4 linked regions of the Neodiprion lecontei genome follow. The protein of the gene in region 4 binds, or shares a complex with, the protein of the main gene of each other region. Links are inferred from orthologs where the notes say so. Each region holds a gene or a part of one and is shown on either strand. Other genes may lie near its edges.

Evidence for each region.
Region 1: chromatin assembly factor 1 p55 subunit (region 4) and protein lin-54 homolog share a complex: the UniProt entries of both Drosophila melanogaster proteins name them as parts of the DREAM complex. The link is inferred for Neodiprion lecontei from reciprocal best matches to the Drosophila melanogaster genes Caf1-55 and mip120.
Region 2: chromatin assembly factor 1 p55 subunit (region 4) and transcription factor E2F4 share a complex: the UniProt entries of both Drosophila melanogaster proteins name them as parts of the DREAM complex. The link is inferred for Neodiprion lecontei from reciprocal best matches to the Drosophila melanogaster genes Caf1-55 and E2f2.
Region 3: chromatin assembly factor 1 p55 subunit (region 4) and transcription factor Dp-1 share a complex: the UniProt entries of both Drosophila melanogaster proteins name them as parts of the DREAM complex. The link is inferred for Neodiprion lecontei from reciprocal best matches to the Drosophila melanogaster genes Caf1-55 and Dp.

Annotation. Positions count from the first base shown.
Region 1 is NC_060261.1:11,990,716-11,996,711, forward strand, and holds the start of protein lin-54 homolog, read right to left. Parts: upstream 3,573-5,996; 5' UTR 3,497-3,572; intron 2,603-3,496; 5' UTR 2,575-2,602; coding exon 2,182-2,574; intron 2,037-2,181; coding exon 1,716-2,036; intron 1,539-1,715; coding exon 1,299-1,538; intron 616-1,298; coding exon 394-615; intron 1-393. Other genes in the region: COP9 signalosome complex subunit 4, read left to right, coding at 5,056-5,138, 5,203-5,282, 5,419-5,537. UniProt on the Drosophila melanogaster protein: Component of the DREAM complex, a multiprotein complex that can both act as a transcription activator or repressor depending on the context. In follicle cells, the complex plays a central role in the site-specific DNA replication at the chorion loci.
Region 2 is NC_060264.1:11,855,777-11,864,443, reverse strand, and holds transcription factor E2F4, read left to right. Parts: upstream 1-1,898; 5' UTR 1,899-2,024; coding exon 2,025-2,132; exon of another isoform or gene 2,133-2,149; intron 2,150-2,178; exon of another isoform or gene 2,179-2,314; coding exon of another isoform or gene 2,315-2,320; intron 2,321-2,570; coding exon 2,571-2,680; intron 2,681-3,097; exon of another isoform or gene 3,098-3,313; coding exon of another isoform or gene 3,314-3,399; intron 3,400-4,770; coding exon 4,771-5,041; intron 5,042-5,127; coding exon 5,128-5,351; intron 5,352-5,698; coding exon 5,699-5,808; intron 5,809-5,908; coding exon 5,909-5,956; intron 5,957-6,988; coding exon 6,989-7,098; 3' UTR 7,099-8,164; downstream 8,165-8,667. Other genes in the region: uncharacterized protein LOC107216924, read right to left, coding at 401-896, 1,066-1,100. UniProt on the Drosophila melanogaster protein: Transcriptional repressor that binds to E2f sites and represses E2f-regulated target genes. Binding to E2f sites requires transcription factor Dp. Acts synergistically with Rbf2 to antagonize E2f1-mediated transcriptional activation.
Region 3 is NC_060261.1:34,105,944-34,114,820, reverse strand, and holds transcription factor Dp-1, read right to left. Parts: upstream 6,717-8,877; 5' UTR 6,589-6,716; exon of another isoform or gene 6,425-6,588; 5' UTR 6,375-6,424; coding exon 6,326-6,374; intron 5,458-6,325; exon of another isoform or gene 5,432-5,457; intron 5,345-5,431; coding exon 5,226-5,344; intron 4,642-5,225; coding exon 4,575-4,641; intron 4,239-4,574; coding exon 4,141-4,238; intron 3,689-4,140; coding exon 3,525-3,688; intron 3,145-3,524; coding exon 2,982-3,144; intron 2,799-2,981; coding exon 2,437-2,798; intron 2,297-2,436; coding exon 2,214-2,296; intron 2,134-2,213; coding exon 2,050-2,133; intron 1,966-2,049; coding exon 1,727-1,965; 3' UTR 168-1,726; downstream 1-167. Other genes in the region: F-box/SPRY domain-containing protein 1, read left to right, coding at 6,950-7,254, 7,402-7,675, 8,008-8,098, 8,182-8,276. UniProt on the Drosophila melanogaster protein: Component of the DREAM complex, a multiprotein complex that can both act as a transcription activator or repressor depending on the context. In follicle cells, the complex plays a central role in the site-specific DNA replication at the chorion loci.
Region 4 is NC_060260.1:23,046,030-23,054,700, forward strand, and holds chromatin assembly factor 1 p55 subunit, read right to left. Parts: upstream 7,077-8,671; 5' UTR 6,957-7,076; coding exon 6,938-6,956; intron 3,967-6,937; coding exon 3,468-3,966; intron 3,391-3,467; coding exon 3,133-3,390; intron 2,470-3,132; coding exon 2,142-2,469; intron 1,912-2,141; coding exon 1,732-1,911; 3' UTR 1,187-1,731; downstream 1-1,186. Other genes in the region: slowpoke-binding protein, read left to right, coding at 172-298. UniProt on the Drosophila melanogaster protein: Core histone-binding subunit that may target chromatin assembly factors, chromatin remodeling factors and histone deacetylases to their histone substrates in a manner that is regulated by nucleosomal DNA.

The sequences.
Region 1 (5,996 bases), on a different chromosome or scaffold from region 4:
CTACGTTAAAACATGTGACAAACTCATTTAAATCAATTTCTAATACGACTATGCGAGTTTTTGTCGCTTAATGTGCCAGCTGAAAATTCACTCAAAAGGGAAAAGAAAAGAGAAATTTCCAGAAACATCCCGTGCAAAATACAGGTGGCTCCGAAAATCTTTGGCTGCTTAATTCTTATTTCGGATATGGCTTTACCAGTAGCTTGAATACTTGAAGAAAATTTGTGAGATTTCAATTATTGAAATGATATTTGAGAAAAAGAAAAAACGTGTGCAAAAGGCTAGTTTTTTGTTATCATTGTACATTTTGTATCTGTCCACAGAATAATATTTATGCATGTTACTTCTGAAAAAATAAAATACTTTTACAGGTTCCTGTAAAACTAAAAATACCTGTCTTATGATGACTTTTTGTGAATTCTGTGGCATATTTTTTCCAGTGCTGGAGAACGTTGTGGTTTGGGAGTTGGAGACTATTGATGACTTGGCGTGGCTAGTCATTGAAGTAGGGGCTGGTAATATCTTGGCAGGGGGCTTCACAGTCGTAGCTGGGAGAATTGTCATTTTGGAAGGTTGAGTTGAAGTTGATGTGACCAATTTATTCACAATTATACCCTGTACAAACATTTAAACACTTAATACACTAAGTCAAGTTACCTCCGGCAAAAATTATGTGCAGAAAGGTTTAAAAATGTGCACGTATTCCCTTAGAATGTAAATTTCCGAGTTTCCCAGTTTTTCTGAAAAATCTCTTACAATTTCTAAACATTTCTAGAAGTTTTACAGAAATATCTTACTTCCGAAACAGAAAATTAATTTCAGTACATCTGTGGAAAACCCATGCCATTCCTTTGAAAATTCTGATAACTTTCTGTAATCCTAGTTTTACCGAAAATATTTTTTTTCAGACATGTGATTCAACTGTTCAACTGAAAATTTCAAATCTCTCTCAGATGTTCATCATAATTTTCTTCTATGCAATGCCAGTAAGTAATACATAGAAACACCAAATCTTGAACTATGCGAGGTGCTGGTTACTAAATTCGGTTCCAGAATCATATAGGTATTCTTTAGAAATTGGTTCGATCTTTACTTCCTAGTCAACTTTTTAAGAAATAGTCAGAAAACAGAAAGCTTAGAATTTCTCAATTTTCAACAGAGAATGAAGTTTTCAAGAAATATGAGTAATTCCCAGACCCCATTTACAACATCTGTTGAAGTTATTGAATATTCGTAGAATAAATCGAACGCGTATGAGCTACAATAGTCTTACAAATATTTCTTTTAAGTAACAATACCTGCTGTTTGTGCGGCGACGATGGCAGTATCTGCTGTATCTTCCCGGAGGAGAGAAGTCCCATTTGCTGAGCTTGTGCAAAAGTTATAGTTTTCGTTGGGCTTGCGATGCTCGGACTGGCTCCGCTACTCGTGATAAACTTGATAGTCTGCGGCTGCTGATTGTCATGTTGGGTGTTGGCAAGCAAAACCTGTTGACCTGTCTGGCTCTGATTACCGGTCAGAATCATTTTTGTGTATACCTGTTTATTCCGTTCAAATTACATTAGAAATTTGCAGTAAATGGAAGGCAGATCGATAAGAATTCAATAAAAAACAATTGTTACACCAACAAAGCGTAAAATATTTCTATTTCAATTTCTCATTCAGGTGATAAATACCAGTATTCGATAGCACACGATCCATGAAGTAAGACTCACGTTTCTGTTTTGTTGTACAGACTGAGCTGGTCTTTTTATCGCCGACTGAACAGGTTTGACGTTCTGTACATTGCTCAGAGTGATGGTCCCAGATTGGCTAGTTGTCACGATGGGTCTTGAACCTTGTGCCGATCTCAGCTGTACTATGTTGCCGTCTGCAGACTTGGCCGTTATCAGAGTCTGAGCCAGCGATTGTAACTGACCAGGCGATGCTGTCGATGGGTGAGATATTTTCAGTATTTGGCTTGTGCCTTGGCCACCTGCTGGTGACACAATCATTATTGACTGGCTTTGAGACACTTGTGGCACAGTTGGCTTCACCTGAAAAAAAGTTTTACCCAAGTGTAAATAGCAATGTTCAAGTTTAAGGATGATGGGCTTCACGGTCTAAACCAAAGACTAGGAAGAGAGAGAAAAACATTTCAATAATCTGTAAAGTCACAGAAATAATAAAATGGAAATTTACCTGTATTGCCGACACAGGCACTCTTTGCAGGGTTGGTTTAGTTTGGAATACAATATTTTGACTATTCTGATTAGCTGCTGATGAGTAAGTTATCTGTTCAGGCTGAGCGTTGTCCGATAGATCGGTCATCTCAATGTCAGACGCTGTAGTTGTAGACTCAATGCTTCGATCGAGAAGCATAGTTTCGTCGTCAGTTGTCATTACCTCTTCAGCGTTCATGCATTCAAATTCAGCCTGAATGCTTGCCAATGCCTCAAAGTCGTTGTTCGAGTACTGCTCTGAGCTGTGCGACAAACTTAGAGCGCTGAAATCTCCATCGCTCAACGTTCGTGAATCCAATGCCAGAGGTTCAACAAGGGCTCTTGCCCCTGGGCTTTTATTACTTGCAGCCATACTCTGCTCAAAATTTATTATTCCTTAGCTGAAATTGCCAAATTGGAGATACATTTATAAGCCAGTTTTGTAAAGCGGTGAGTTTACACACCGAAAGGTATTATCGATTTACAAACATGATCACCTGGCGATTAGAAGTAGACTCATTACTTGCACAATTCATGCTTCAAAAATAGCTGTGCTTTATATGCTTGCTGAAGATAAATAAGCAGCAAAGTGTCATAGTTGGAACTTTTTCCAAGGAATTTTATCTCAAATTGGGTAGCTAAAAATTTCATTGGGATAGGAGAAAAGCGAAATGATTGTAGTCACTATGTAGCAGTATAGTTTGTTGACGTTGTTTGTACTATAGTTCAATACTGAGGATAAGCGTGATTTTAAAAATTCAAAAATTCAAATAGTTGTTAATGATTCAGGCGTTTTGGGAGCGATAAACAAGCGAAGGCGTGGAATCGATCGCTAATCGGGGAAGCAATAATGGGCAGGGATTCGAAGTTTGAAAAATGGAACGAACAAATTTGAATATCAATGCAAAACGTTTCGAAGCTTGGACGACAGACGGTCGCATTAGCGCCATTTGTTACATCAACGCGCCATTTTAACACAAACAGTATTCGATGTGGATTCAAGACTATTAAAATTAGGTGAATAGTTGAAGATTCTACTTATTCTGTGAGTATAATACGAGAGAATTATTCAACGCATCTGAGATCGAAATATTCACACGAAAGAGGCTCAAAATTGCGAAAAATTGAAGTTAACCTAGAACTCAGTTGTTTGCAGAAAGTTCGTGCTGCGCGCATACGATGGTTCACATTCTGACTGAGCAATGACTCTAATTACTTCAGAACTGAAGCACAGTTTAAAATAAATGCGATTTGAACGTGCTCTAAATTAGTACTGCCGAATGTTCTGAACTCACCTGCGTACTTTTCTGGCATCCCGAATTTGTTCAAAATCACGCGCCCACCATTACTATCCCAAGATGCACCACGCGCTTCTATTCTATATACGAACAGACCCAAAGTCATTAATGGTCGCGCTATACGTGGAAGAAATTCTAACCGTTCACTTGCTGCATCGCTTCTCGGGATACATTTCTGACACTACGCACAGTAATCTCCTATCTCTGTTGCACTATTTGATCGATGGATCGCTCGGTCTCACTCCTAGGGAATTTTAGTTTTTAAACCAGTGCATGGTGTACAAAATTATAATAACAAACGTGATAGGCACAGAGAGAAACCTATAGGCACAATTGTAGTATAGTTGATATTATATTATTATATATTTCCCAAAATATAGATGTATGTACAAGAAATTACAGGTTTAAGGGGCTGCTCTTATATTTATAGTATATATTTCCAAATATCTAAATCTCAAACACTTATATACTACTGGAGGCATGGTTTCTACGAAATCGAAATTGTAAATTCGTAGAATTTATGACATTTATTTATTTCTGCGTCAAATGAAAATTCGTTGCAGTGTTTTTGTTTAGAATTGTGTATAGAATGGACCTGTTAAATCTTTTGTCGCATTTGAAATACGTGGACAACGTTTACAGATATACAGAAGATTACAAATGTAAGTTGTAATATATACTACGTGATTTAAAAATAAAAATGTAATTTGTATTTCCGTATCACCGGGCGTAGTAGAGTTATACACGGGAGGACCACGGGGAGGACTTGAGTTGAAGTCCTCAGCTCTACGATGGGAAGCAGGGGGAGCAACGTGGGAGCAACTCGCAAAAATTGTAAGAAGGGTCACGTTATTCAGCCGCTACTGACCTCCGTCCCACACCCCGCAAAGGTAGTCGTTTATAGTGACATCATGGAAAGCATGTTGCGGGACTGGTAGTAGCTCTGTTCGTTTTAATTACACTTTCTACACTTTTTACACTTTCCCTAGAAAAGGGCACCTTCCATTGGCTAAATTCAGGATAAGTGTAAAAAGTGTAGAAAAGTGTAACTAAAACGAACAGAGCTATTGATTATTAGTATTATTACCATGATTTCATTTTTTCTTATAATAAAAATTTATTTACCATTATATAATTATGAATAACACATACAAAATGTCATATTGCACGCAAGCACTGTTCAAATTATTGAAAGTACATCGAAGTTGACCCCCAGCTTTGCCCGCAGTTACTTTATTTTTCAAAAGAATGTACCGGATGTACACCACATTCGCTGAAAATTCCGTAAAATAGAGGCAGCGCTTACCATGATTTCGATAGAGGAACAGAGATGTAGAATAACTGTCGATACTGGATCTAATTTCGGAACGCAGGAATGAACTTGTTTCTCATTCTACGTGTTTCACAGCATTCTTCAATTTGGTCGAATTGCAAACGACGTCTACCGTCTTCGTCGCATCTTCAAAACGTTCGTGGTCGTTGCAAAAATTGAAGAACCCGATCGAAAGAGATTGAAACCGGTGCAAAGCCGAATTACCGAAACTTTGGGAGAAAATATGGTCGTGATGATGGCCTCGGTGAGGCAACAGCTGAGTACTTTATCTCATGCCGGAGGTTCTCACAAGGACCAGGCAGAAAGGTACGTTTCTCTGCTCACATGCTGTCTCATGTCGTCTGAATATTAATTCCGCATGGTTTTTCAGATACCGAACGCTATTGGATTTTCTGGTAAAATCTGCGGGCGAGGAGTTGGTTGACATGCTGAAACTCTTTATCGAAGCAAGTATGTGCACATTAATCAATGTATCTATTATTTACAGCTGATTCCTTTTTGTAAATCTATTCGCACGGAATCATTACATACTCAAAACATTTATTATGTTGCAAAGAAACTAATGGTGAATTATTTATATTTTCAGTCGTCAATGAGAACGTAAGTTTGGTTATATCAAGACAAGTTTTGACAGAGGTTAGTAGCCGGTTGCTGGTCTTACCTGATGAAGTTTCAAAGGCTGTTGCTCATTACACCCTTGATAAGGTTTGCTCCTCTTAGTCTCACTATTATGTATTCGCCATTGGGCTTTACGATTATAAAAAATGTACATTATGGCTGGTTTTGTATTGTGTAGACTTGATACAAGCCATCTGAGCAGTTGACCAAACATAATTGGTTTACAGGAGAAATCCCCCTAGTTTTTTCAAACTTTTGTGCTTGATACACATGTGTACTTGTGTACTAGACTGTATACAAGTCGAAAATATTGTTTGAAGTGACGATAAAAAAACATGCTATCCATGTTTCAGCTCTTAATATTAATATTTAAAGGTGCCTCATCGCAATGTTTTATTTCCCATTTAAATAACATAGGAACATATTTTGTTATCTGGAATTTTATAACTCGTTAACGAATTAGTATGTTGATGAGACCAGAACGTATATTTGTAGGGAATTGAACGCTCTAAAAAAAAAGTCTGTTATCATTTTGATAAATGTACT
Region 2 (8,667 bases), on a different chromosome or scaffold from region 4:
CTCAGCTATAAGGACGGTTTATAATGTCCGTAACCGTAACCGCTTCCGTAGAAGTTTCATTTTGCGTAGAAATTTCAAGACTCGTTTACAACCTCCATAAGGTATGGCCTCGCTGTTGGTTGCATCTGCAACGGATAGCGTTTGAGCTTTTCTTTACGTGCAGAATAATATTTCTAACCTCAAACTGAAGTAAATTTTGCTAATTAATTATGGTTCGTAGTGTGAGCTCAGTTTAAAATGAAACGAAAGCGTTCGTACGCAGTAGCAACTTTAGGGTTAGTAACAGTGTTATATTTTCTGATAAAGAAAAGAAAAAAACAAAGGCGAAAACGGCGTTGGTGGATTCGTCCTATGCTACTCGACAGAAAAGAAAAAGGACAATACAATAACCTATTCAAGTTTATTCAAATTTTTTAAATATACAAGAATCACTATCGTCGCTTTCAATTACATCCATGAGCTCTAGTATGCGTCTCCGTGCCATCTTATTTTTCTTTGATAATTTTTTCATTTGACTGTACAACATCATACAAAAATTCCAATTTATATCAGATTTTGTATCTTGGTCGTTGCTCAAAAAGTGCTGTACGGTTTTCAATGTATCTTTCACCGTTTCGATCAGATCTTCATTGTTGTTTTTTTTCACTTTTTTTCCATTTCCTTCTTGTGGAGGATTCGTTAATGGGACAGTTCGCCTTTTCTTGGGCGGTAAATTCACCTTTCCATTTTCATCTGTTATAATCATGCCGATAGAGTCCTCTTTGTACTGATTTTCATCATTCGAATTTAGAAATTCATACACATCCCAATCATGCGCTGACGGGTCCATATCTGGTTCTTCATCCGAAGACAATGTTTTCTTCTGGGAAGAGCATTGTGGAATATTACCAATTGTCCTGTAAAATAGTCGACGTATAAAACATACATTCAACAATGATCATTAAAGCGAATTTCAGCTGTGAAACATCGTTTTGTCCTTGGTCAATAAATTTGATAGAAAAAGACAATTATGTTTCCAAGATAAAAACAGTCTTAATTTGCTATCAGACGAAAAATGAAACTTACTTTCTTGGTTTGACGTGCAAATCGAGGAATTGCATCGCTTTGAAATAGCTTGATGGCTGCCTGTCGGAAACACCGCCTGCAGCTCCCGATGGTGGACCAATTCTGGCACAGCGCTTTTCCCGTGAAAAACGCTCACGCAACAACTTCCACCTCTTCTCACAATCCTCAGCTACAAAATATCAAGATAACTTTAAGCTTGTATCTTATATTTTTACAACACATTATGAAGAAATATAGTAGTTTGTCGTCAATGAATTTGGGAAAGATTTATTAAATTTGTTATAAAATGTTTTATGTATAAATTTTATACATATATGTTTATATATAAACATACAAAATGAAGTAACCTTAAACACTTACTTGAAATATTCAACTCCCGGGCAATACGGAACCACGTATTGTTTTTTTTTTACCCTATCTTTATAATCACCGCTACTTTTATCATACAAGCACGGGGCTTTTTCAACTAGTCCAATTAATTTCATATCGAAGCTTTCCATTGTTTTGCTTGCTGTCGTATCTTCAATGACTTATTTTTCCTTTCGTTTTGTGTGCTTGGGGGTGGGGAGATGGACGGATATAATCTGCATTCTGATTGGCTGTCCGTAGAAACGCTTCAGTAGAACGTTCAAATTCGGCTAGATTCTACTGAAGCGGATTATACTTAAGCGCCAGCAGACAGCGTTGTAAACCATAGTACGGTTTTTCATATCCTTTAACTTCCTACTGAAGCGGTTACGTTTACGGTTACAGACATTGTAAACCGTGCTATAGGCTCCAATCGGTCCTGCGGCCGTTTCCAGCACATACCTATACGTTTATGTTGCTTCGGTCAAGAAGACGCCCTCTATGATTTAAACCCGAGTTTGAGTTCAGCCAGTCGGTGATGGCGTATCGCGTGCGGCAATTTCGAAGAGGAGTGCGTTTCGTTTTGAAAATTTTGACAACGGCCTTTTAAAATGGCAGACAATCAGCAGAGCAGGTTCGAAAAGTCACTCGGTTTGCTGACGACGCGGTTTGTAACTTTGTTACAAAAGGCGAAAGACGGAGTATTGGACCTGAAAGTGGTGAGCGGCGTCGATACGTAAGCTAGCAAAAAGTCACCGCGAGATCTAGGTTAACTTATTATGAGCATATATGTGTACGTTTTCTGCTGGTGTGGTTCCTCTTGCGGGAATTTTGAAAAAAAAACAACATGACAAAAATGCCAGACAATGTGCAAATCACGAGTTCCAGTTCATGAATTACAATGCGGGTAAATTTTATAAGGGTTTGGAGTTAACCACAGTTGAATACAGAGTTCATAATGAAGAAACTAATCTCGTTAGTTTCCTAACCTGTAACACATTTTTATTGTTGTATGATAGATAAAGCACTCGAAATTTGAATTTATATATTATGAGAATAAAATTTCTGACTGCGTGTGATTATTCAATGGTTATTACATGAAACGTTCAAACTTTTACAAGACTGATACATTAATCTGTGCCAACACTTTCCCTTAGGCCGCTGATATACTGGAGGTGCGACAAAAGAGACGAATATACGACATCACTAATGTACTCGAGGGAATTGGGCTGATTGAGAAAAAAAGCAAGAATAGCATACAATGGAAGTAAGTTTGGACATGATAAATATCATTGCATTATCACTCAAATAGTAAGGCACGGCACAAGCTACTTGCATATTTGTAACAATGTGCACATTTCAATTTCGGGCTTTTAATTTTTCAATGTACATTTGCTCGTTTTGTTTAATATCACTCGAATTTCCGTTTGCTTCAATACATCAATGTTGCTATTGATTTTCAGACTAGAGTATGATTATTTATAAATCATTGATCGAATTATAAGTAATAGAAAAAGCTGTTGGATACACATAAACAAAAACAAAAAGTATTACGATGAAAGTGTACTACAGATATCAAATAGTTTCCAAGTTCAAACATGTCGTAAAGTTCAGAAAATTTCTACTTTATATAGAAATGATGGTCTTGCAATTGTGGTTTAATTAAATGAAAGAGTAATTTCAGAAGAATGGCTGGTTCAATGGGACGGTGCCAAACCACATACCCAACATCTGTAAGGAAATGTGACATATTTGAATGTGATACAATTCAAAAACCATGCTTGAGAGACCGTTTGATTTAAGATTTTGATGATTCTAACACACTGCAATCAGAGATCTTCGCAATCAACATCAAACCCGTCCAGTGATAAGATTTTTCACACCATCCAATTGCTTGATTATGTATCGATTCATAATCACGGCACTTAACGCAAGCCATGGAGTTACCTCAGTTTACTGGATCCTCCCGCTTGATAATGATCCTCGGTACTTGTCTTATACAGTGAATTTTATTTGGTGTTCCAATCCTATGTTGTTTCGTCCAGATTTTTATTTGGTAATAGATTTGGTCATACAAAATTTCAGAGAAAATATTGAAAACTTCGAAAATTTGAAAGAAGTCATTGAATTTTATTCAATTTCATCAATATATTTATTTCATGTAAAAATAACCGTATATTCACCTTGTTAATCCTGATTTTATCGAAAAGCTAAGGAAACTACGTAAAAAATATGCTTCCAAACAATCAATATTTCAATGGTTTGAATCCTCACGCGACCAACGCAACCTGATTTTCGGATTTTTCACAAAAGGTTGCATAAGAAACTGTCATTGAAATGTGTTTTACCGTGGTATAAATTTATGATAATTTGGAGATTAAATTTCTCTAACTTCCACAAGTATTAATGCTAGTGGTTAAGGCTCATGTATATTTATTTCGAATCTTCGTTCACTTATCTTCTTAACAATGAATTTTCAGTGGCAGTTTTTTGTGCAATTTTTTCTGAAGAATCTGGATATCATGGAATCGTTTGGCTGCCTGAGGATAGAGTATTGGAACATTAACTTTTTAGAAACATCATTTTTTTACCTTATTTTTATAGATCTTCAACAAAGTTATGCATACATTCATACGGCTTCAAGAGACTTATCATTTAAAATAGAAATAAAATTGAAATACAGTAGAACCTTGATCATCCGAACCCTCAATTATTTGAACATTGGCGCGAAAGATACATTGTTGCTCGCTGCCACCGCCGTGAGCAACAATGTATCTTCGCGAAAATCGCGGGCATGCAAAAACGCGTTACAGACGTTCGTTGATATAAAATTGACGATGTCATAAAAAAATATAAACAAAGGCATTCGAGTTTTTTCAGGTGTTTAAAATACATGCATACACACACGCACGCGCACACACACGCACACACATATATTTCAACGTTACTATGTATGTCAAATCTTAATATATATATGTATGTACTGTTTTTGTGTAAAAATGTGTTGTTTGTGATCTCAATCCAAAAAACCCACGGTTCGATTATCCGAACTAGTCTCTGTCCCAATTCGTTCGGATAATCGAGTTTCTACTATATCTTCATCAGGTTTATAGAAAAATACTTTTAAGAAATATCCCTTTTTTACAGAACTCCAAATCTACCAACCCTTCAGAGTTAAATGTATACAGGAATTTTGTAGTTATGCTTCAATACTTGTTGCTGATGATGATGCCGCATTTAATTTTTGCCCTGAACCTCTTTCTTCATTGGCCATTGCTCTTTTCGAATTTACCATCTAATATTCATTACACTGATGAATTAATGATTATGGTATTACAAAATTTAACGTATCATCAGAGGTGCTGGACCTGGGTGTAACACACAAGAAGTTGGTGAAAAGCTGACCGAACTGAAGGATGAAATCAAGAAACTAGAGGAACACGAACAGTTGTTGGACACGCATACCCAGTGGATTCAACAGAGTGTAAAGAACATCGAATGTGATTTAACAAATAAGAGATACGCTTACCTCACGTATGAGGATGTCAAGAAAAAGTTTCAGAATGAAGTTGTGTTGGGTATTCAAGCTCCACCGGACACATTACTCAATGTACCAAATATTGCAAAGGTAAAGAGGAGCGAAATGAAAAAAATGTAGTAAATATGGCTGTAAAATTTATAATTTAACTGTTGGTCCTCTGTTTTGACATTCAGTTAATAGAAGAGAATCTTGATGAAATTAAGAATCCTAATTACGAGATATCCATGAAGAGTGCATCGGAAGAAATTAAGGTGTACATGATTCAGCCAGAGCTCGCTGAATGTTATGACAACAAAGTACTTGAGGCCAGACTTCGAGAAGAATCTAAAGGTACTAAGAGGGAAAAGGATGGAGATGATAAGAAGGAGGAATCCAAGCCAAAGAGAAAAGTTGGAAGGTAAAACATAAGGCATTTAAATATTATTAATTAAAAAAATGAGTTGAAGAAAGGTACTGCGCCGCTTTCGCATCAGAACCGGTGAGTTCACGTTTCTGACCTGCAAAAGGCGAAAAATAATGATGAGGGTCTTATTTGGGGGATGGAAAGTCGTAAATTTAGGCTTGTTCAATTGGATCAGACCCTACAAATATCCTCTATAGAAATTTTATTCATTGATCACAAATCTTGTTCCCTGTGTAGGTTTTTATCAACTGGAATTGAAGAGAAATCTTCAATACAATGTTTCTTGCAAATCAATTGCCTGAGATGCAAATTAAAACTAATTCCATTTTGCTTCTGTTCAGGCCACCTAGAGGGGCTGGGAAAGTAGACCCTGTATTATCAGACGAAGACGAGGAAGAGGATCCAGAATTACTCGAAGCGAAAATTATACTCAGCGATGTAGCAACGTCAGGTAAAATATACTTAAACACAAAATATTCATATCGTTTAAAATGTCCTGAATTTTATTCATTTCATCACTTGTGTTTTCATTTGTTTTTGTGTTTTCTTAGACATTGTCAGAACAGATTTGGACCTACTGGACGAGTTTTATTCAGATTGTAAGTTTATATTGTCGTTTTTAATTTTTACTACATCTACTACACAACTGTAAATGATTTATTATGTCTTCTTATTTGCCATTCTCGAAGTCGCTTATGAAGTTTTTGTTTCGATAAAGTAATTTATAGATCTTCTGAAACCCATAGTATTATAAGCCATATTTATTTTATGATTAAACCTGATGTCAGTATATGTCAAATAATTCTTCCTTTTGGCTTTTGCATCTACAAAAGAAAGGCAAACTCACCAATTTTGCGAGCATTGGAATGAAAATTTCGTATGAGTTATTTCATGTCAAGCCGGACACTTTGCGAGTAAAATATCGATTGACAGTTTTAATTTTCCTGAGACTTTTTTGTGTATGCTTTCAATGAACAAATGAGAGGTGTTTAACTGCAAAAATTGGTATCTGTATTTTTGATTATGTAATACGTCAAATTTCAATTTTATTTCAAACGCTATTTTCTAGCAGCTATATCTATCAAAGTAGTTAAGATAATTGAACAAACAAAGAGGCATCGGGTTTTGAAGTAATATAATATAATTTCTTTTTAATACCAATCTGCTGTAAACTTGATTATCTGAATTCTTCGACCATGCTCTTCTTTGTCGATTGCCAATTTTTAAATCTTGAAAAAAAAAATTGTATTCATTTACTAAATATACATTGATCATACTGGTATAAACCACGATGTAGTATTCGTTTTTAAATTACCGTTTGAAAAAAAATTATATGGCATGAGTTTGAAAGGTATTTCATGCACTGTTCGATACCTGTATTTTTCACACTAGAAGGTAAATGTGGGTATCAAATTTGAAATTTAATATTGTCTTAACATAGAAAATATGGATATTACATTTTTTTCGTCAAACGGGGCATAACTCGCGTATAAAAATGATTACTTCTCTTCATTTTCGTGTCAAGATTTCGAAACATCTAAACATCAGTTATTGAGTTTTTTTCAAGTTGAAAACATCAATTACAATATCCAACTTCATGTTAAAGTTTTTGTTTACATATATTTTTACAGTTTGCGGACCTTTGGTGAGACTCAGTCCACCACCGGGAGAGAAGGACTATCATTTTCATCTTAGTGAAAACGAAGGACTCTGTGACTTGTTTGACATAGTTGCAAACTGACGGCAATACATTAAAAAAAAATAGTTTATGGCTCCGCGGTATCGTGAAGTTCAATTTTCAGGTGTTTTTACGCCTGATGAATAAATTGATGTGAATTGGATTTGACAATAATGCGTCATACCCGTAATCACACTAGATCATTGTCGACCACCCTGTATTGATATACATGTATATAATATATATATATACATATATATATATAAAATCACGTAGGTAATATGTATAATTGAGTAATGAAAATTGCGGGCCAATGCAAAATTATTGGCTCTGATACCTTAATTAAATGGCTATATTGTGAAGTACCTTTTTTGGCGTATTACATACGTGAAAATAACTGCCAGTTAGCGATGTCTATTTTTAGGCAATAGATTCACACGCTGTAATGTTTGCTTGGCTACACTCACAAGAATTCCACGTGTCTTATGTTAGTAAGGATTAGTGATTAGCATCCTTTAACCTGGGATGCTAGGTAAAGTATTACCTAATATCGTATCTTCACAATTTGTATAGCAATGCCTGGGTTCATGAATAACGTGACACACTTTGTTAGCGCCATTGATTTAGTTTACGAAATCTAGGAAGGCTATGTTATGAAATTTTTAAGTATTTTATAAGAGAAAACAACCCCCTGTGTAACGATGACGACAAAAAGGTATACCTGTCTGTCTTATATACATTTTCGAGTTTTTACCTGTTAAATTTGCTAACTAGCTCATGTACACCTGAGTAAAGTCGACTCTGCCTTACTGCTGCCTAATTTTAGTAGGTTGGAAATAGGGTTGGCTGCACTGGTGTCTAACATACGCGCACATTGAACAACAGATGCCGCGCCAGTTCGATGAGGCGCTGCCAGAGCCAGCCGTATTTCTCACCCACTGAACTGAAAGGGTCAGAATTTACTACTCGGGTCTGCATACAATGTGTATGTGCTAACGAGATCATATAAGGTGCATACAGATGTACGAAACAACATTGTGTTGCTGTTTTATCTATTATACAAATAGAGTGTAAGACAAAACGAAAATAGAATGTCTTTTTATAAAATAAACTTCGAAATATGACCAGATTTTAGATCAGTCGGACCATAAAATTATTTTCTTCCTATCCTTGTAACAACACACCTTATATCCTATATTTGCGACGTATTATTGAAAGCAAGGTCAATCTGTGCTTCAAACTTGTAAGAGATTTTTTCAAGAATCAAACCTCTAACGAATTCATTATTGCTATTATTTTGCGAATGGCTTACAGACAAAATAATGAGGTAGTACAATTCTGTTTATTACAGGTGCATGATTACTGGAAAACTCGAATTTCTGTATTCTAAAATTCATTATAGCAGTGTTTCTCGATCATTGTTGTATCCAATTCTTATTCTTGATTAAGAAAAATTTCTGTGATTCACTCAATGGAAACAAATTTCCCAATTGAAACAGGATTCATTTTTCATCGTTCGTGTTCACGTGGAATAGTGGTCAAAGTCCGACGACGGGACACAACAGAGCGAACTTTGACTTCTGTGGCAACCCTGGAGGAAATAATTTTTACGCCCAACTACGAATTTGATTT
Region 3 (8,877 bases), on a different chromosome or scaffold from region 4:
GAAACTAATTTGTTTAAATGGCATTGAAAACTATTTACATCTAGCCAGAATATAATGCCTCATATATCAATTGAAAATTAAAAATTGCATTAGCCTAAATAATGGCAAAAATTCAGACAAGCTTAAGTATAGCATGAACATAGTAATTTAATAACGACCAATTAATATAAATGAGAGGTCCAAATTTATTTACAATCATTCAATTAATCCAGCTATTTGTGAAATGTTGTAATAATTATTGTGTACAAGATACACTTTTCTGACATATGTCCGAAGATGCTGCTTTACAGACCCTATCCTCATGATACATATTCAGTATCAGATCAGTTACTGTCAGTAACACATGTTTGTAGGTAGCTGACCTCTAAAATCATTTACAAACCTAATCATAGATTGCAATTATTATATATTATTCAAAAATATTTTTTCGATCCAAAAACAAAATTCGCATTGAGCCATGTTAAACATTTACAAGATGCTCATTAATGGAACGAAGAGTTGAAATATTTCGGAAATAAGAGAAATTACGTAAATACCTATTTCTAAATAATCGTATCACACTTAATCCTGTTAATAATAACAATTTCTAAACTGAAGAATATTAATTATTAATAAGTAGCTAATGATTACTTTGTATTACTGGAACTGCAACATAAATTCCTATTTTGGGTAAAAGACTAATTCAATAAAATACGCAAAATCGATACAGCAGTATGCATAAAATAAATTTCTACAAGTAATCTTTTAAAGTTCAATGAATTTTCCATATCAAGTGAATTAAATATGTTTTCTAACGGAAAAAATTGCGCTCAAATAAAAATTTGGCATTCTATATCCGGAATAGTAAAGTTACGCAGAAATAATAAAAATGTATTAAAAACTTGAATTGAAGAAAAAAAAAATATACAGTCACTTGTAATAATTTTACAATTTATTCACTTCAAATTAGTTAGACCTCTCTCTGTATTCCTTTGCTATATTGCGTCCTGCTGTGAACCACAGATATCATAAACGTGCCATAAGAAAATGAGTGGTATAGATATATTTTATACATGTAATAATATTAATGTAAGATTATAATTGTGTTATTTATAGTACATACATTCTAAAGTGTCTAAATTCACGACACGACGCATGATTAAAATAGCACCGAATTTCAGTCCCTGTGCACGTCGGTTAGCTAACTCGTCGCTTTCGTATCCGAGCAATAACAATCAAAGTGGCATGAAATACGATTTACGGACGTTTACGCATTAGTCTTATGCTATTCCATAAAAGAAAGAAAGTGACATGTACCCTACTCGCTGTTATTAGTTCATTACACTTCTCAACCTGCAACACAATATACCTTCCAGTAATATAAAATTTAATTTCAGCTGTTTTGAAACATGAATGTAATTCTGGAGTCTTCCTACAGCCAAAATAGATTGTTTCGGCAATGTTAAGATGTATTCCTTGATATTGTCTCGATTATTTCGTCAGCAAAAATTAGCCAACCAAGTAAGGTATGAGACTCCATTTCAGTGAGAAGGCATGAAAATTCAATCACTGTATAATCAATCCGTTGCATCCAACGATTTCGGCAACGTGGCGCAATAATAATACAAAGCACCTGGTGATGCAAAGTGTTTCTATAAAAATGATTTTACGTTTGTGTAATTCAAACGACACCGCAAGCCCAATTTCGTGGTTACCAAATATGTTAAGAGGATGATGAATGGATATGCTAGTTAGCCTCAAGATCACTGTCGACTTGATCGTCCTGGTCGCTTTCTTCTTCTTCATCTTCTTCCTCAGAGAAAAACTGGGAAGGTGGAGACAAAGGATCTTCCGAGAGAGAGGTACGAGAAGAAGAAGGTGGCCGAGATCCAGATTCCTCTAATTTTATTTCCAGTTCATCCATCGATGTACTCGGCCCAGGAATTGTAACAGGAATGAATCTTTCCAAATCCCCAGAGGCCAATTCTATGGATATTAGTTGATAATATTAGATTTATGCCACAGCACCTTTACCTTAAAATAAAATCAAGTGTAACTAGAGCTACTTACGCTCAACGTATTTTTCAAGGGACTTTGGTACCATAGTTTTTGCTTTCCGTAAATCGTCATCAGTACATTCTCCTTTCTCAAGGCCTGAAGCAAATGTACATTTGTACCGAGATTTTCGTGCAAATTTATCAATATTTGGAACAAAGTATTAAATTAGTATTTACCAAAGGCTAAACCCATTCTTTTCAGAACTTCAATGTCATCATGGATCTCAAACTTATCATTAAAATTAAACAGGTACTCGGTTCTGAAAGTAATACAAATATTATAAGAAGCATTACTCGTAGATACGTGTAAAATATGCAAATCGAACTTTCCTATAAATTATAAACATGAACTAATTTTGTGTAAAAAAATACTACATGAAAAAGAAAGACTGACACTTACTTGTCGTTTGAAATACTGCAATCAATAACAGTTTTCTTACTGGTATTAACTATTATGAATGGCAACTGTATAGCAGAATTAGGTTTAGGTGGTCCATGAAAATTCTCGTTTTTATGGTTGCGTTCAACTAAATTTTTGTACGATATGTGCTGCAAAATTAACGAATGCAGCTGCTGAGTTTTGGCTTTGATTCTCTCTATTTTCTTTTTCTTATCTTTTTCTAACGACAAACACTCTTGCAACGAATTTGTGGGCAAACCCAACCATCTTATCTCCTTCTTCTCCTTGGAGATTATATTCATTGCCATCAATACATTCAATGCATCGTATACACGTCTCCTAATATTTTTCTGATCGTACTGCTGCAAAAGAGATATTAATCCTGAGTGAAATTGGAATTGAATAAGCAAATTTTGACACTCATTGGCAAGACTGAGATCATTTCTCTATGTACTTTTGCACCTAAGATCAAACTTTGAAGCACTATCTGTGAGTTGCCTGAAAAGACAACAAGGTTCCAAATATCAACGATAAAAGATATTTACCTGATCAGTTAACGAATTTATGTGCGCAGGGTTGGTGAATTCGCCAACTAATTCATCAGCAACTTCATTATATGATGTCGTACCTTTCTTTTTCACTTTTTCACAGACTTTCATAGAGAAATGGCGAAGCCCCTTTCCAACTTTTTCTGTTTTTCTCCGTTTGCTGTAAATTTAATACAGATCTATTAATCTGGAAAACGAACCCTTTCCCGATTTCAGACACATACTTTGATATGCATCCTATGCTTAAAAGTTGTCGCTGCTTTAAGATAAATAAGTCAGATAATATCAGTGACATGTGTTTGCACATTGCAAATTGAAATCAATGATTCATGTTTTATTTAAAGATAAGTTTCTAAACTGTCCTCTGTTTTGAACTTTTTGAAAGATTCGTGAATTTATTGTGCTACTTGACGATCAATAGTTCTATGATATTTCATCGTGATATGTATTTCAAAACCAAACGTGTGCATCATTCAATATTCAGAGATAAACCCCGTCAGGAAAAGGTTCAGTTTTTTATTAAGAATAGTCCAAGCTCACTACTCTGGGGTAAAATCGCTGCTCTCGACATCCTGTCGTTTCCTCGAACCACTGTGATCCAAAATGGGGCTGATGAAAGTCTTTCCAGATTGATCTTTGACAATCTGCTGTTGATTGCTGGCCTGTTGTTGAGGCTGGGATACCAACGCTTGTTTAAAATCATTCTGTTGAATGGAAAGATTTGAATAAAAAAATTAAATCATAACACAAAATCCAATCAAGCTTATCAGAGGCCATTCAAAAAATACATCAACTTTGTTTAATGGATTCATTTACTTTAATCCCCCTGAATTGATATTTAACAAATCCACTTCTGATAGTTTTTAGATACTGAAAATACAAACTCTCATTTCAATAGAAACTTTTTAACAAAATGATAAAAATTAATATAATATATAATATTACCACACTAGTAGAGCTAACGTTAATAAAATCAACCTGGGCTGCAGATGATTAAAAATCTACCTACAGTAACTGAACATTATGTTCATCTGCACCCCCACCAGTGTGCTTTATGCTACTACCACATAATCCAGGATCCCCCAGGAAAAGCTAATGTCTTTTTTGAATAGCTCCTGATTCATATTTTCCCAATGCTCATGATGTTGTAACCTACCATTCGAGCAGTTGTAAGTTGTATTGTTTTTGTCACTACAGATTCCCCAGCTTTTACAGATGACATTTTTGCACTTTGTACAGGGATGGTAACTAAGCCTAATAGAAAAATATTTTGTTACATGAGAAATGTGAACTTTCTGATAACTGAAAAGACAGATATATAGATGGGTCCTATAGAAACAAACATATTTTGACAGTCCAGATAGAAAGGCCGTATTTCACTGGGTAACCTAAAACGGATCTATCTTAAAAGATGCTAAAAGTTGTGTATAGAGCTCTGTATGGACATGCTGTAACACTTTTTAAGTTACATCCATTCTAGATTGCGCGGCAAAATATAAGTGTTCTATCCGACCCATCGAAATACTTCTGTTTTCATAGGATCCGTCAATATGTACTGCAAGAAACTAGGTAAGAATCTGTAATACTCACGCTGACCAGGTGTTGAAGAACCTTGCAAACTGATGGTTCTCAGTACTTGTGTCCCACTGGACAAGACCTGAGTGTGCAAACAGTAATGGTCATAATATCATCACAATGAACCCAGGGTGCCCACTCACTAAGTGATTCAATATCCCCCGAATTGCTACACATTTAACTGACCACTGGGCACCCTGTAAATACAAAGTTGAAGCTAGAAGCTGGAAGCTTACACTAGCAGGCGGGGATAATTCTGCGTATCATCTATTGAATCCCTTGATTAAAAAATGTACAAGATAGCACACGTCAGAAATACTATATGTTGTGAGACAGTTTGAATTTTTGTTTTGAGAACTCCTGTTTGTGGCCATTGGGTTAAATTGTGATATGAATCAGCTCATCCGAATAGGTCTATAAATATGAGCTTCAGTGTCATCTTAGAAAGCTTTATGAACCATACTCAGTAGTCATACAAATGGGAACCGTAAAAAATATTCAAGATGGGAGTGCAGAATAATATGGATTGTACTCATTGTATAACATAATTAAAATATGTTTGCAAACCTGTTGAATATTGGTAGAGCAATTTTTCAATATATGGTAATTATTAGAAAAATGATACAAATGTTGCGAGTCTGATTATATATTTTAAATGATATTTACTTGGGTATCTTGGCCAGGTGTCTTGAATACCTTCAAACTCCCGGAATTTGTGGTGCTAACAAGCCCAGTTAGTGCTTTATTCGGCGTGCTCGGAACCACTTTAATAACTTGTGGTTGGCCTGTAAGAAAGTTTATTTTTTTTAAAATATCACAGATTAACAATTTTATATGATCCAAAACTTCAGTTAATCAACTAATGTATGTACATTAGATGGCTCTTCTGAGTAGTATCAAGTGTTTAGCAGTAGGGAATACTGAAATATTTAAGATTTCATATTGAATGGCATTCGTCCTTCAAGAGTCAATGCTGCTGTAGTACACAAATTTTAGAGGCAAATCAACTGATTGATCTTGAAGGCAAATAAGGAATGCCCTTGTTGCTAAGAAGAACAATAATGAATTATTTATATCCTAATTGAGATCTACAAGAATGATATTCAGTGTACGACTGATTATCAATACACGTTATTACGTGAAAACAATACAGCTAGTTTAACTAAAATAGGAATACCAAACAGCAATATCATTTAACATTAATCTTCAATTTCCAATAGCTATTTCTCAATGAAAGTGAACCAATTACAATCACGCGAGCAGTACTAAATATGTTTGTTTATTATTCATGGATTCCACAAGTATATCAATAAAAGAACAGAGAATTTGTCAGTGTCAATGTGTAAATTGTAAGTTTAACGTAAGGAAATCCAGAACTATACAGTGGGATGTTCTAGTTATCGATAAGTAAATGAAAGTGATTGGGATATTCTGTAAATCCTTAGAAAGAAATCTCGATCAAGATTATTAATGTAAGATTCGGTTACAAACAAAGATTGCAAAAATTGCATTCTTTCGTTCGCGGTATTCTGGTAGTAAACGCGAAACACACGTTTTAACGTGATTGAGTTTAGCAAGGAGCCTGCGATCAAATTGACGAATCCAAATAGAAATGGATATGCGAAATATAAGAATCGTGAAATTTGGTTAGAAAACGCGCTCCTCGGTTGATCGCACGAGGTATTGTTTCACACTTCATTCGACAAGGAATATTCAGAGACGGAGCCGTGCGTGCCGATTGTTGGCGCGCCAGTTGGACGACTTACCATTTGCGTCGTGTATCAAGAAATTCATCGTTTTATTTTGCTGGGTCATCACTGATGCTTCTGGATATCGAAGGTATCAAATATGATCCCGTAAGCGGACTGAAATTCGCGTGAAAATAAAAAGATCATAAGTGCAATAGTTAGGTCGGACTCGACGTATCACCAAAATGGCGACTCCGGCATTGCACTATTTGTGAAGTAAATATTGTAAAAACCCGGTTACCAAGTATCAATAATATTGCGAATTATCAAAATAAACTAACCGCGCTATCGTGCGCGACACACAGCTTCTCGTTGAATCGTTATCACGACATTAACAACGCGTCAGTAAAATACAGCTTTTTAGTGCAAGTAGAGCCGAGACGAGCTTGGCGGTAGCACAAAGCTAAACAGCTGATTGGCCAGTGCTGATCACGTGGTTCGCTCCGTTCCTCATCGTTCCCCGTCTACCGCAAACTTCAGTCATTGAGTATCGAATTATGTGTAGCTGGGGAACTCAGCGCTACTACACAAAACGTCAGTGAATCAATGTATCTGCGAATCACAGTGCAGAACGACCTCCCTATTTCGTTTCCTTTCCATCCCACCTGTATTTTGTTCCGTCGTTCACGTAGGACCGGCAAAATGGACGATATAGCGTCAAGGGTTCCCGATCATGTTTTAGAAGTGATATTTTCCTACTTAAAATTGCACGATTTGCGAAATTGTTCCTTGGTGTGTAAGAACTGGTATAGAATTTTGAACGATGAGAATAATGATGTATGGCGGTTACACTGTATTAGAAAACTCGCTGAAGAAGCGCTCAAGTCGGATTTGCTGTCATCGGTTCCCACCTATAAAGCCAAATTACGAGCTTTTTACCATGCTTGGAACCCTGACGATTGTTCCCGCAATATTTACATCAAACCAAACGGGTTCACTTTGCACCGGTAGGTGCAATAGCAGTATATTTTACGTTTTGTCACGTGCTGTGATTGAGTTGACTTCAATGCACACAACATACCCGTTACTTTAAATTTTCACACAAACCAAGCGATTTTCTTCATTCCAATATTCGCTTCATTTTCAACCTCCAGAAATCCAGTCGCTCAAAGTACAGATGCCTCTCGGAGTAAGATAGGATTCCGCCATGGACGTCATGCGTGGGAGGTAATTTGGGAAGGTCCTTTGGGAACCGTAGCTGTGATAGGAATAGCAACGAAAGAAGCATCTCTACTCTGCCAAGGGTATGTAGCTCTACTTGGTTCCGACGAACACTCTTGGGGATGGAACCTTGTCGACAATCATTTGTTACACAATGGGGATGCACAAGGCAATTATCCTCTTCTTAACAACGCTCCAAAGTATCAGGTAAGCTGATAATTTGCTACATATTCTTATCCATCAAATTGCAGGCACCAAATTTCAGGAAGTCAATGCGCGGTGTGACTCAAATGCCAAATGTTCATTTGAATGAAAATTCCAGCAACATGTACTTTGTAAGATTTGTTGAAAAATTTTTCCACCAATTAAATTGAAAATTTATCAACTTCTACTAATTTCTCACAAATCTGTCCTATAGAGTGAAAAACTTATGCAAAATAATTTACTTGGTATGAGCTCGTTTATATTTTTATTGAAATGAAAATTCAGAATTTCTAGCACATGATACATCAATTTATTAAAAGCTTATCTAATTTCAGATTGGTGAGAAAATAAGAGTAATACTGGATTGTGATGACAACACACTGTCCTTTGAAAAAAACTATGAATTCCTGGGCGTAGCGTTTAGAGGTATATTATTGTTTTTGCCAACAATGTTAATTTTGTCATAGTTGGTTCATGTATTTTCTAATGAAGTGGACATTTTTGTACAGGATTACCCGACAAGAGATTATACCCGTCCGTATCGGCTGTTTATGGTAATACAGAAGTTTCAATGGTATATCTTGGACCACCTTTGGATGGCTAACACTTTTTGCAAAATTTTGAAGTAAACTTGCAACACTCTCTCAAGCATGTGCCACGCGAGGATAGTCTGTTAAAATATATCTACGTTTAAGTAGAACTTCCACTAAGGCGAGTCCAAAAAAACGCGTATAAATAATGGATAAGTGTAAAAAATGAGCATCGCAATTCGAAGCATTGGCGACGATTGCGTACATAACTTGTTTATTGAACTGTTTATACCGTAGAGCATTAATTTTCTGAACATCAGTTATCCAAAATATTAATTATCAGAGCAATGATTCGGTTTATCCAAATCGTCAGTTATCATAAAGATTATTTACTTTGAATTTCCGGTTTTTCGCATAATAGGCCGCTACATATATTATTGTGTGACATTGTAAGCACAAACTTGCACGGCGTACCTCTTCTCCACCTACCAGACAGGAGTTTGCACACATTTGGCTTTCCAGTGTCAGTTCCTACTCATCTGCAGAGCTGTGAAAAAAGTGAGCCCCGATATTGAATCTGATGTTTTATGTACATATTCTATTACGTTCAACGAATTAGGGGTTGATTCCCACACTGTTTGGTTATACGAAAACTCGATAATCTAAATGATTGCC
Region 4 (8,671 bases):
TTGGAATGCTGAGTATTGATTTTTGAATTATTTTAATTCCATTTGCATGCTAGCAGACACAGATCTCATTCCGCAGGCGATGTGCCAGCCGCGAGAAGAATCTACTGGTAATGTGTGAATATTCACATGCTAATCTCAAATGCTATCAGTACAATTTGATTTGCCCTACAGACTGGAGAGTATTGATAGTGAGGACGTTGTATCGCTTGACAATCCTGCACCAGAACATAGAGAAGAAATTGAGGAGTCTTCACTTCTTGCTGAGATATACGACGAGCTTTCGACTACAACTATTTAAAATCCAGACTAGGAGCGATTTAATTGAGTAATTTTTTTTTTTTTTTGTATTTATCAGGGTTTATTTTAATTTTATCGCGTTAAACAATGTTTCTTTATTGCGTTTGAAAAAACAACCATTGTAGATTTTTGTTAGTCACTTATACGATACTGTATACCCACGTATACCTCGTAAATATAAACAGAAAATGAATCAACACTCCAATCAACTTTTCACTGTTTTACTATCAAAAACAATAATTAACGCTGAGAAACTACTCGTACGAGTATGCTCATGCAAACGAACTTTGAACTAATGATATTCCTGAGATACTAAAGACTATGATGAGAATAAATCAAACACCTAATACAAATATAATATAATCGCGGTATTAGAATAGATAATGAAACACAAAATGATTACGTTATTATTTCATTTTAAATTTTCTAGATGAAAAATTTAAACTTCCCGCCAACGGTTACGTACATTATGATGAATTACCAACAATCATAAATCATGTAATCAAAGTTTTTAATCAACACAATAACATAACTCATTACACATTTTTTGTTGCCAGGATACCTTGTAAAACTTTGACAACAGACAAACAGTAGATCTGATATAAAAAACAGTTCAATTCAGATTCTGATCCAGATGACATGACACTGGTACATATAATAGATTGTGAGTTTTGTGAAATTATTTATGTTTATTCATTAATTAATGTCTTAGAAGAATATTTTCACTCGTAGAAAAAGTAATAATGTCAATTCGCTCAGTGATAATATTTATAATTAAGTAAGAGATGACCCATTGAACACATAATTTGCATGAAGTGATTATTCTTACTATCTTTGTATCCATCCGGATTTGTCGATAACCAACAATTTCAATTTTTTGACTTACATATGTTGTGGGCACACATAGAAATTCTTGTTATTCCATAACTGTTGAAAATTACATTTTAGTATGCTCCTAAAACTCTCTGCTCTATGTCGAAAAAAAAAAAACGTGAGAAATTTGGGTATATGTATTACAATATTACAAAGAGATTTTTAGGTATATGAAGACAATTTAACGATCAACATAAATGAACTTGAACAAGAGACATTTTCATCTTACTAATGACATACTAATAAATTCTCTGTATGTGCCCGAAATAAAATGATTGTTAACTGCAGTCAGCCTCATGTGTCCAAGGGATCAACTCGCGTGATCAACAGAACGCTGTACAAAAGTAAAGATAAACGTGGAATAACCTGACTTTAACAAGGATATCTACAAATACCCTGCTTGTTCAGCTCAAAGTGATTTTTCCGAAATCTCGTAAGTAACGTTCAACCAAATGATAAACACCTTATGCAATAAAACTTGTGAAATATGACGATGAACCATTATTATTTGGTACAAGAAGATTAGGTATAAACCATTAGTAATAAATTACTTGCAACAAATTATGACGCTCCACCCTCAAGCTCACTTGCAGGCGTATCTGGTTCTTCGTCATTGTAAATGTTCTCAGCCATTTGCCAAACTTGCATTATGTTGTCTTCTGACACAGAACAAATAACCCATGGCTCATTGGGGTTCCAAGAGAAGTCACTTATTTTGGCTGTATGTCCACCATGAATGAACTAAAACAAAAATATTACGTGATTTTCCAATGGTAATAAAAAAAATTACTTTTTACAAACCCAAGTTTCTACATCTGTTGTTCACTCTCTCTAACCACAAAATACAATAAGGAAATAAAAACAATAAAAGTGATTCTTCTTTTACCAGTGTTATAATAGTACCTAACATACAGAACAACAACGAAACGAGTCAAAATTGGCTGCAAACTGTAGAATTCAGTGAATATTACCAGTAATTCGGGTGGTCCATCTTCAGCATCTTCAGTGGACTGTTCTTCTCCGATCTTACTCAGATCCCAAACATGTAAGCGTCTGTCGGTTCCGCTGCTAGCCAAAATTGTCTCATTGTGCGGTGACCATTGTACTTGGAAAATTTCGTCTTTATGGGACTCGAATGAGTGAAGCTTCAACTTCAAATTTCTCAGATCCCACAGAGCTACCGTCTTGTCAGCACTGCCTGTGGCTAATATAAATTCCGAGTAAGGGTTGAAACTCAGACAGTTTACTTCTGCTGTATGAGCATCCACAGTATGGCTCGGCTTACTTGTGTTATTACATCTGTCCGCAAGCATAAAAACACATTAGAAAAACTCCGGTTATTCAATATATTATTTGAACTAGTTCAGTGTTAGTGAAATGTTTGTAATAGCTAATAATCAGAAAGAAATAAGTGGTAATTAGTAATATTTGTAATTGAAAATTGTCTCAGTAACTATTTTAAAAAAATCAGTGGTCCAAATAGCTTTAACAATAATAATAATTATTATTTTTTAATCACAATTATATTTGCAATCGATGGGAGGAAGTAAGGAGTATAGCAGGGATTTGTGGCAGTTGTAGTAGAAACACCCGCATTTGCACAAGGGACAAGGGAAACTGCCGAAAAGCTTGTTCAGGTGTAGCTGGACCCAAGTCCAAACCATCGACCAGTAATCCGGCACCTGAACGGCGTGAGCATCTTCCATTTTTGCAAATTGCCGTTCAGGACCAAATTGACAAGCCAGGTATTTGAACCAGAGTCCTCCTGCTCCTCAGCCATGAGTGCTAGCACCTGAGCTACTATGGTCGGTGGGTAACTTTATAGAACGCCGGTATATACTCGAATTACCATGCTAGTAAAATGAAAGATAATTTGCTTACATATTCAAATGGCCTAAAGCCTTTAGTATGAGAAATGAATTAAAGCATGAAAAAAGTTGGATTCGTAACACAGCATTATACCTTGTATCCCAAATCATAAGTTTTTGGTCATCAGCTACTGATCCAAACAAGGACTCGTGGAGCAAATGCCAAGCGACATCTTCCACCACAGCTGTGTGACCAGTAAATATAGTCTTGGCATCGATTACTCTATGCTCTTTAGGTGTTGCATTGATGTCCCACAAGCATATAGTGTGATCGTCAGATGCGCTCAACAAGTAGCCGTTCAGGTTTGGATTCCACGACAAGCCGTATCCTTCTTTTTGATGTCCACGCAACCTACGAAAGTGTGATGCATATAATATTGTTATGCAAGGAATTTGACAATGAACGTAATAATTATTCATATTTTTTACCTGAGATCTGGATGGCATTCACCGTTTGGATCGGGTTTGCTGGGATGCTTGGTATAGTCAAATACTAGTACGTCACTGGAGGGAGTTTTTGTAGCAATGACGCATGGATTTTGCGGCATGTAACGTGCCCTGTTGACTTCACCTTCGTGATTGATTTTTATCTCGATTTCAATTTTTCCACTGACAGATCCAAATCCTCCAAACTCTCCTTTCTCATTGTCGTAATGAGAAGCATCGAACTGTGCATCCTCATTGGGTAACTGTACGCTGGCAATTAGCAAGTGGTTTTGTTCATCGGAAGTATGAGTACCCAAAATAAGACGGTGCACAGAATAATCTTTCCCTTCTGGTCTTGTAACATCAGGCAACCATTGAGCTGTAAGGGAGGGCCACTCCAGGGCATGAGTCATTACAAGATCGTACAGAAAGGGAGTATTTTTCTTCCATATTTTGTACTCTTCATTGATGACACGTTCCTCAACCGCATCGTCAAATGTTTCTGAAAAATATTCCTTCATTCGTCAAATGATCGCATAACCAATATGAGGAAATTAATTTTTTATTGTCAACACGAATGACTCGCAAGAAGACTACGCGTTCATATAATGCAATTTTTCCATTGATGATACAAGTTTTGAGCAAATATTTTCTCTGGAGTAAATTTAGCACTACAGATGGTGTAAACATGTCACTGTTCACAACCAAGTTGTCCAGCAACCAAATAAAATTAATTCCTATTCGAAACTCAATGCCGATTGCCGTCGCGGAATCCTTATTTTGTAACTTGTGACCATTACTCTACATCCTACATGTCACCGATAACGTTTATTTGGCGAAATAAGCATCAGGCATGATTGTGTAACAACAGGTAGATTTCTTGCTCATTGACTGCAGTTTGTATTTGAAGTGCGTGAAAGTAAGTTTTCTAGTTTAATCTATGCAATATTTACATTTTTTAAACATTGTCGGAACATGACTGCTGAAAATTTGCAAAAACAAATAACTACCCAAAAAAACTTCTATTCTGTATGAATTTAACACCTTTTAATAATCACTAAACATGGATAGAAAAACTTGTTTGCAATGATTACAAAATAACGAAATAGAATACTCTGATATTTTTTGGCAAGATATAAATATAACTACACATCATACCATGGGTAGCGTCCGGTGTTGGACAACTGTACAAAGTCTTAGTAAATGCAACATTTAAAATTCTTTTTTGTAATACCTGTACCAAAAGCGCTCTTCTATGCACCATCCACAGGTACTTGAAGGAGTCTTTTAGGCACCAGTGCCAGAAAACTTTCTCAAACCGCTAGCGGCCAATAGAGTTGCAGGCAAGTGTTCTTGTACCGCTAGCAGATTAAAAAAAAAATTGTCTCGTGCCCAGGTTTAAAAGACTTCTTCAATGCGGGTGGACGGTGCATAAAAAAATAAAACCAGAATTTTCGTTGCAGATGTAATAAAAAAGTAGCATGGGATACACGATCAAAAGGTGGCGATGTTGAGCTCGTGCTATGCCTTTGCACTCGCTGTGCGGTATTGCTACCTTTACATTCTTGTATCAAAAAATACTGCTAGATTTCCTATGCTTTATCTGAATTTTTCAAGTTTCGACATCAAATCAACAGGTTTCAATAAATCAAACCTGATCAAATATTATGAACAATTCTTCCAACTAATTCTTTAGCCTCATAGTGACATTATTGTAAATCACATTATAATGTTGAGTAAGAGAATAAACACAATAAAACTTTATTTAGACGTTTTTTAAACAGTATGAAAATTATGATCTATAAGTGAGAATAATGTTAAAACGAAAATCCATGATTTCTTATTTAATGCGTTTTACTTGAATTTATGATTTTAAATGGCTTCGGAGTTGGCGTTTTATCATATTATTTACAGTAAACTGAACCAATACCATTGAATAAATATAGGATGCGAGATAAGTAATAAACTTTATGCAGTAATTATTCATTGCAAATTGGTTGCATACATAGTACGGAAAGCTTTAACAATTATACTGATGATGTTTATTTGAAAATCTAGGTGATTGTCAATTCAATGTAATTGTCGTTGATATAGAGAAATGGTGCTAGGGACCAGAATAAATAACACATAAGTGAAAAAGACATATACAAAAATGATATAATGTATAACTGAAATGTTTCAGCATGGTATGTATGCAAAACTACTGGACCAGAAAAAATTGAAAGTATAATGAAAAATAATGCACATGTGCAAAATATAAAATAATGTTTTCCCACGTTAAGGAATTATTTTTCATTGCTTTACATGTATTTTGTCTATGTTATAAAACATTTTTCATGTTAATTGATCTTCTCAAGAATATTATAAACGAAATATACATCCATTTCATCTTAGTTTAAATGAGTGTATGTAAGACTTTTTGGATCAGCCCTTTCCCTACTTTCTATTTTCAAATCCGCATGAGCATTTCCAATGTTTCCAATGTTTAATATAATAAACTACAAACTACAGGTTTGAATGCAAATTTGTAATTCTCTCAATTCGAAAAAATATATATATTTCCAGCTTTTCCTAACTTTTCATGTGGCAAATAGAATTCTATGGGGTTCTAATGCTCAGTTCTCTCTAGCAACTAGACGCCAAGGACTAGTAACGAGTATATTTATCACAGTTAGCGAGCAAAGGGTTTTAAACGTGTAATTTCATTTCGATATAATGACTTTGAAATTTTTAAAGGTTTCCTCACTATTACAACATTCCCAGACCATATGACTATGATCATGTTTCGTTGGGTGAGGCTGCATCTTCGGAAACTCGATTAAAGATTGTTCAGTATCTATAAACATGAAGCAATTGCTTTGTCTAAAGTGGATGTAATGTATGAATTTCTATAGGGTACTTGTGGCATTGGGTTACATTAAAATAATTCAGTAGTTTACTTCATGTTTCAAATCAGCTGATAACCTCATCCATTCAAACAGAAGATGCGAACAATGAAAAATGAGCAAATAGAATTCATAATGGCTCGAACTCAGTGCTATTATCAAATCGCTCAAAGTTGGCATAAAAATGTACGTATGCTCAAAAATATTATCTTATACTGTTATATTGCAGTAAAAAATTACCGGCCTCTACAAATAACTAGTCGAAGAGGGACTCGAACGTTGCGCTCGACTTTGTGCAAAAGTAGATGCTGTGTATGTTCTGAAATATTTGAGAGATGCGTAGAATCGCGATTGCCTAGGAGCTGCGAAATTATAATCTTGCAAATCCGCGGTGTATGTAATACAGGAATAAATTTATTACGCGAGCTGTGAATGCGATTCGGAATGTGAAGCGCGTAAGCTAGTAAAAATACAAGTCTTTCACAAGGGATTTGGGATGTATCAATAACAACTTTAAATTGCTTAAGTGCGTAGAGATAGAAGAAATAATGTTTGATTATGGCTTAAAGTATCGCTCAGCACGCTCACCTCCGTCTTTGTCTCCCATTTGTGTTTGGTTTGAAATAGATATTCTGTACAACCAGCTAGTTTTAGGCTACCTCCAAACACTGCGCCCGCCAAAAAGACGCGAATGCTCCGAAACCGGGAACCGTCAAAGGCCTCAGCCATACATCGTTGAGGACATAGATGATGTACTCACTATAAATTAGAAGCACCTCTAGAGTGTTAGATAAAACGACAAATTTCATAGTGTTTTCTGGTGGCTGCTGTGACGTTGAACAACACTCCACGAAATTTCTTGAATGCTATACACTAGAAACTATCGTATAGGGGCTCTATTCTCGAGTTAAAGACCCTAGATATCGTATGCGAGATGTATGAGGGCAGCCCCCTGACACTCACCACTGCTCGTATACTAAAAAATTGTACGCGTCTTGTCCCCGTTTTTTAATTCCTCTACGTGGCGCTAGTAGACTCCAGGTAGACTTCCGACACGCTTGCTGCCCTCGCTGACCGCGCGCAAGCTCGTCAGGTAACTACTGGCGCCACTAGTGGTGGAACTTGGCGGCAGAATCGAGGGACATTTGGCGAACCACTTTTAGCAGCATGTGTCAGGGGGCTGTCTGAGGGTGTATTCCGACCTCCGTGAAGTTGGCCCCCCGAAGTTGTTATTTTTAAATCTAATTAATGCAATTCGTTTGAGAATCGTTTGAGAGGGTTTGAGAGTATAGAAAAATCGTTTGAGAGTTAATAGTTTTTCCGGAAAATTGATTTTAATTTTGGGTGTGAAGTTGGTGCATTAATTAGATTTAAAGATAATAACTCCGGGGGGCCAACTTCACGGAGGTATATCAATTAAAATATTAACTATCTAACAGTTTTTTTCTACTCTCAAATCCTCTCAAACGATTCTCAAACGATTAAAAAAAAAATTAAACGTCTAAGTCTATTTTTTGAGGAGATAGAAAATATGGGGGCCAACTTCACACCCAAAATTAGGATCAGGTTTCCGAAAAAACTATTAACTCTCAAACGATTTTTCTTTACTCTCAAACCCTCTCAAACGATTCTCAAACGAATTGCATTAATTAGATTTAAAAATAACAACTTCGGGGGGCCAACTTCACGGAGGTTTCCTTTACTCTCTTCTTTACTCTCCATGGTCTGAAATGTCCATAGACTTATAAAGTCTATAGAAATATCGAATTCGATATTATGTAGCTGTATTCGTGAGCTTCCGTTAGGTAATCGTGTACGATAATTATCGTCCACTGTTTATCGACTGCGTAAGACCGTGCAATACTGCAAATCGTATACGACAAAAAACCGATAATTTGAATTATCTTTTGTTTCGAATATAAAAGTTGTAATATGGTTGTTATTAAATGAATAATTAAACGAGGTTGTATATTTCATCTCATTCCATTTATTCATAATCAAATTACAAATGTACCATTAAAATCAGAAGTTTGTTTATCGGCAATAATATTATTTCTGAAGTTACGAAGTAAGTAGCTTATAATTCAGTTATAAATAATTTCAACCTTACATTGGTATCGCATTATAACATTCCAGACTGTAAACCAATAATTGTACCCACTGGAAATTTATTTTTGATCGTATTTATGGTAGGTTGAAGCTAATATAATGGATCTGTCGGACGCTTCACGCTTCCTTGCGATGCGTTGTTGGAAAGAACCGAAGAATAAACGAAGAATCGTTGACTAAAGTATATAAAGACAGTTGCCGTTAATGGGCTTT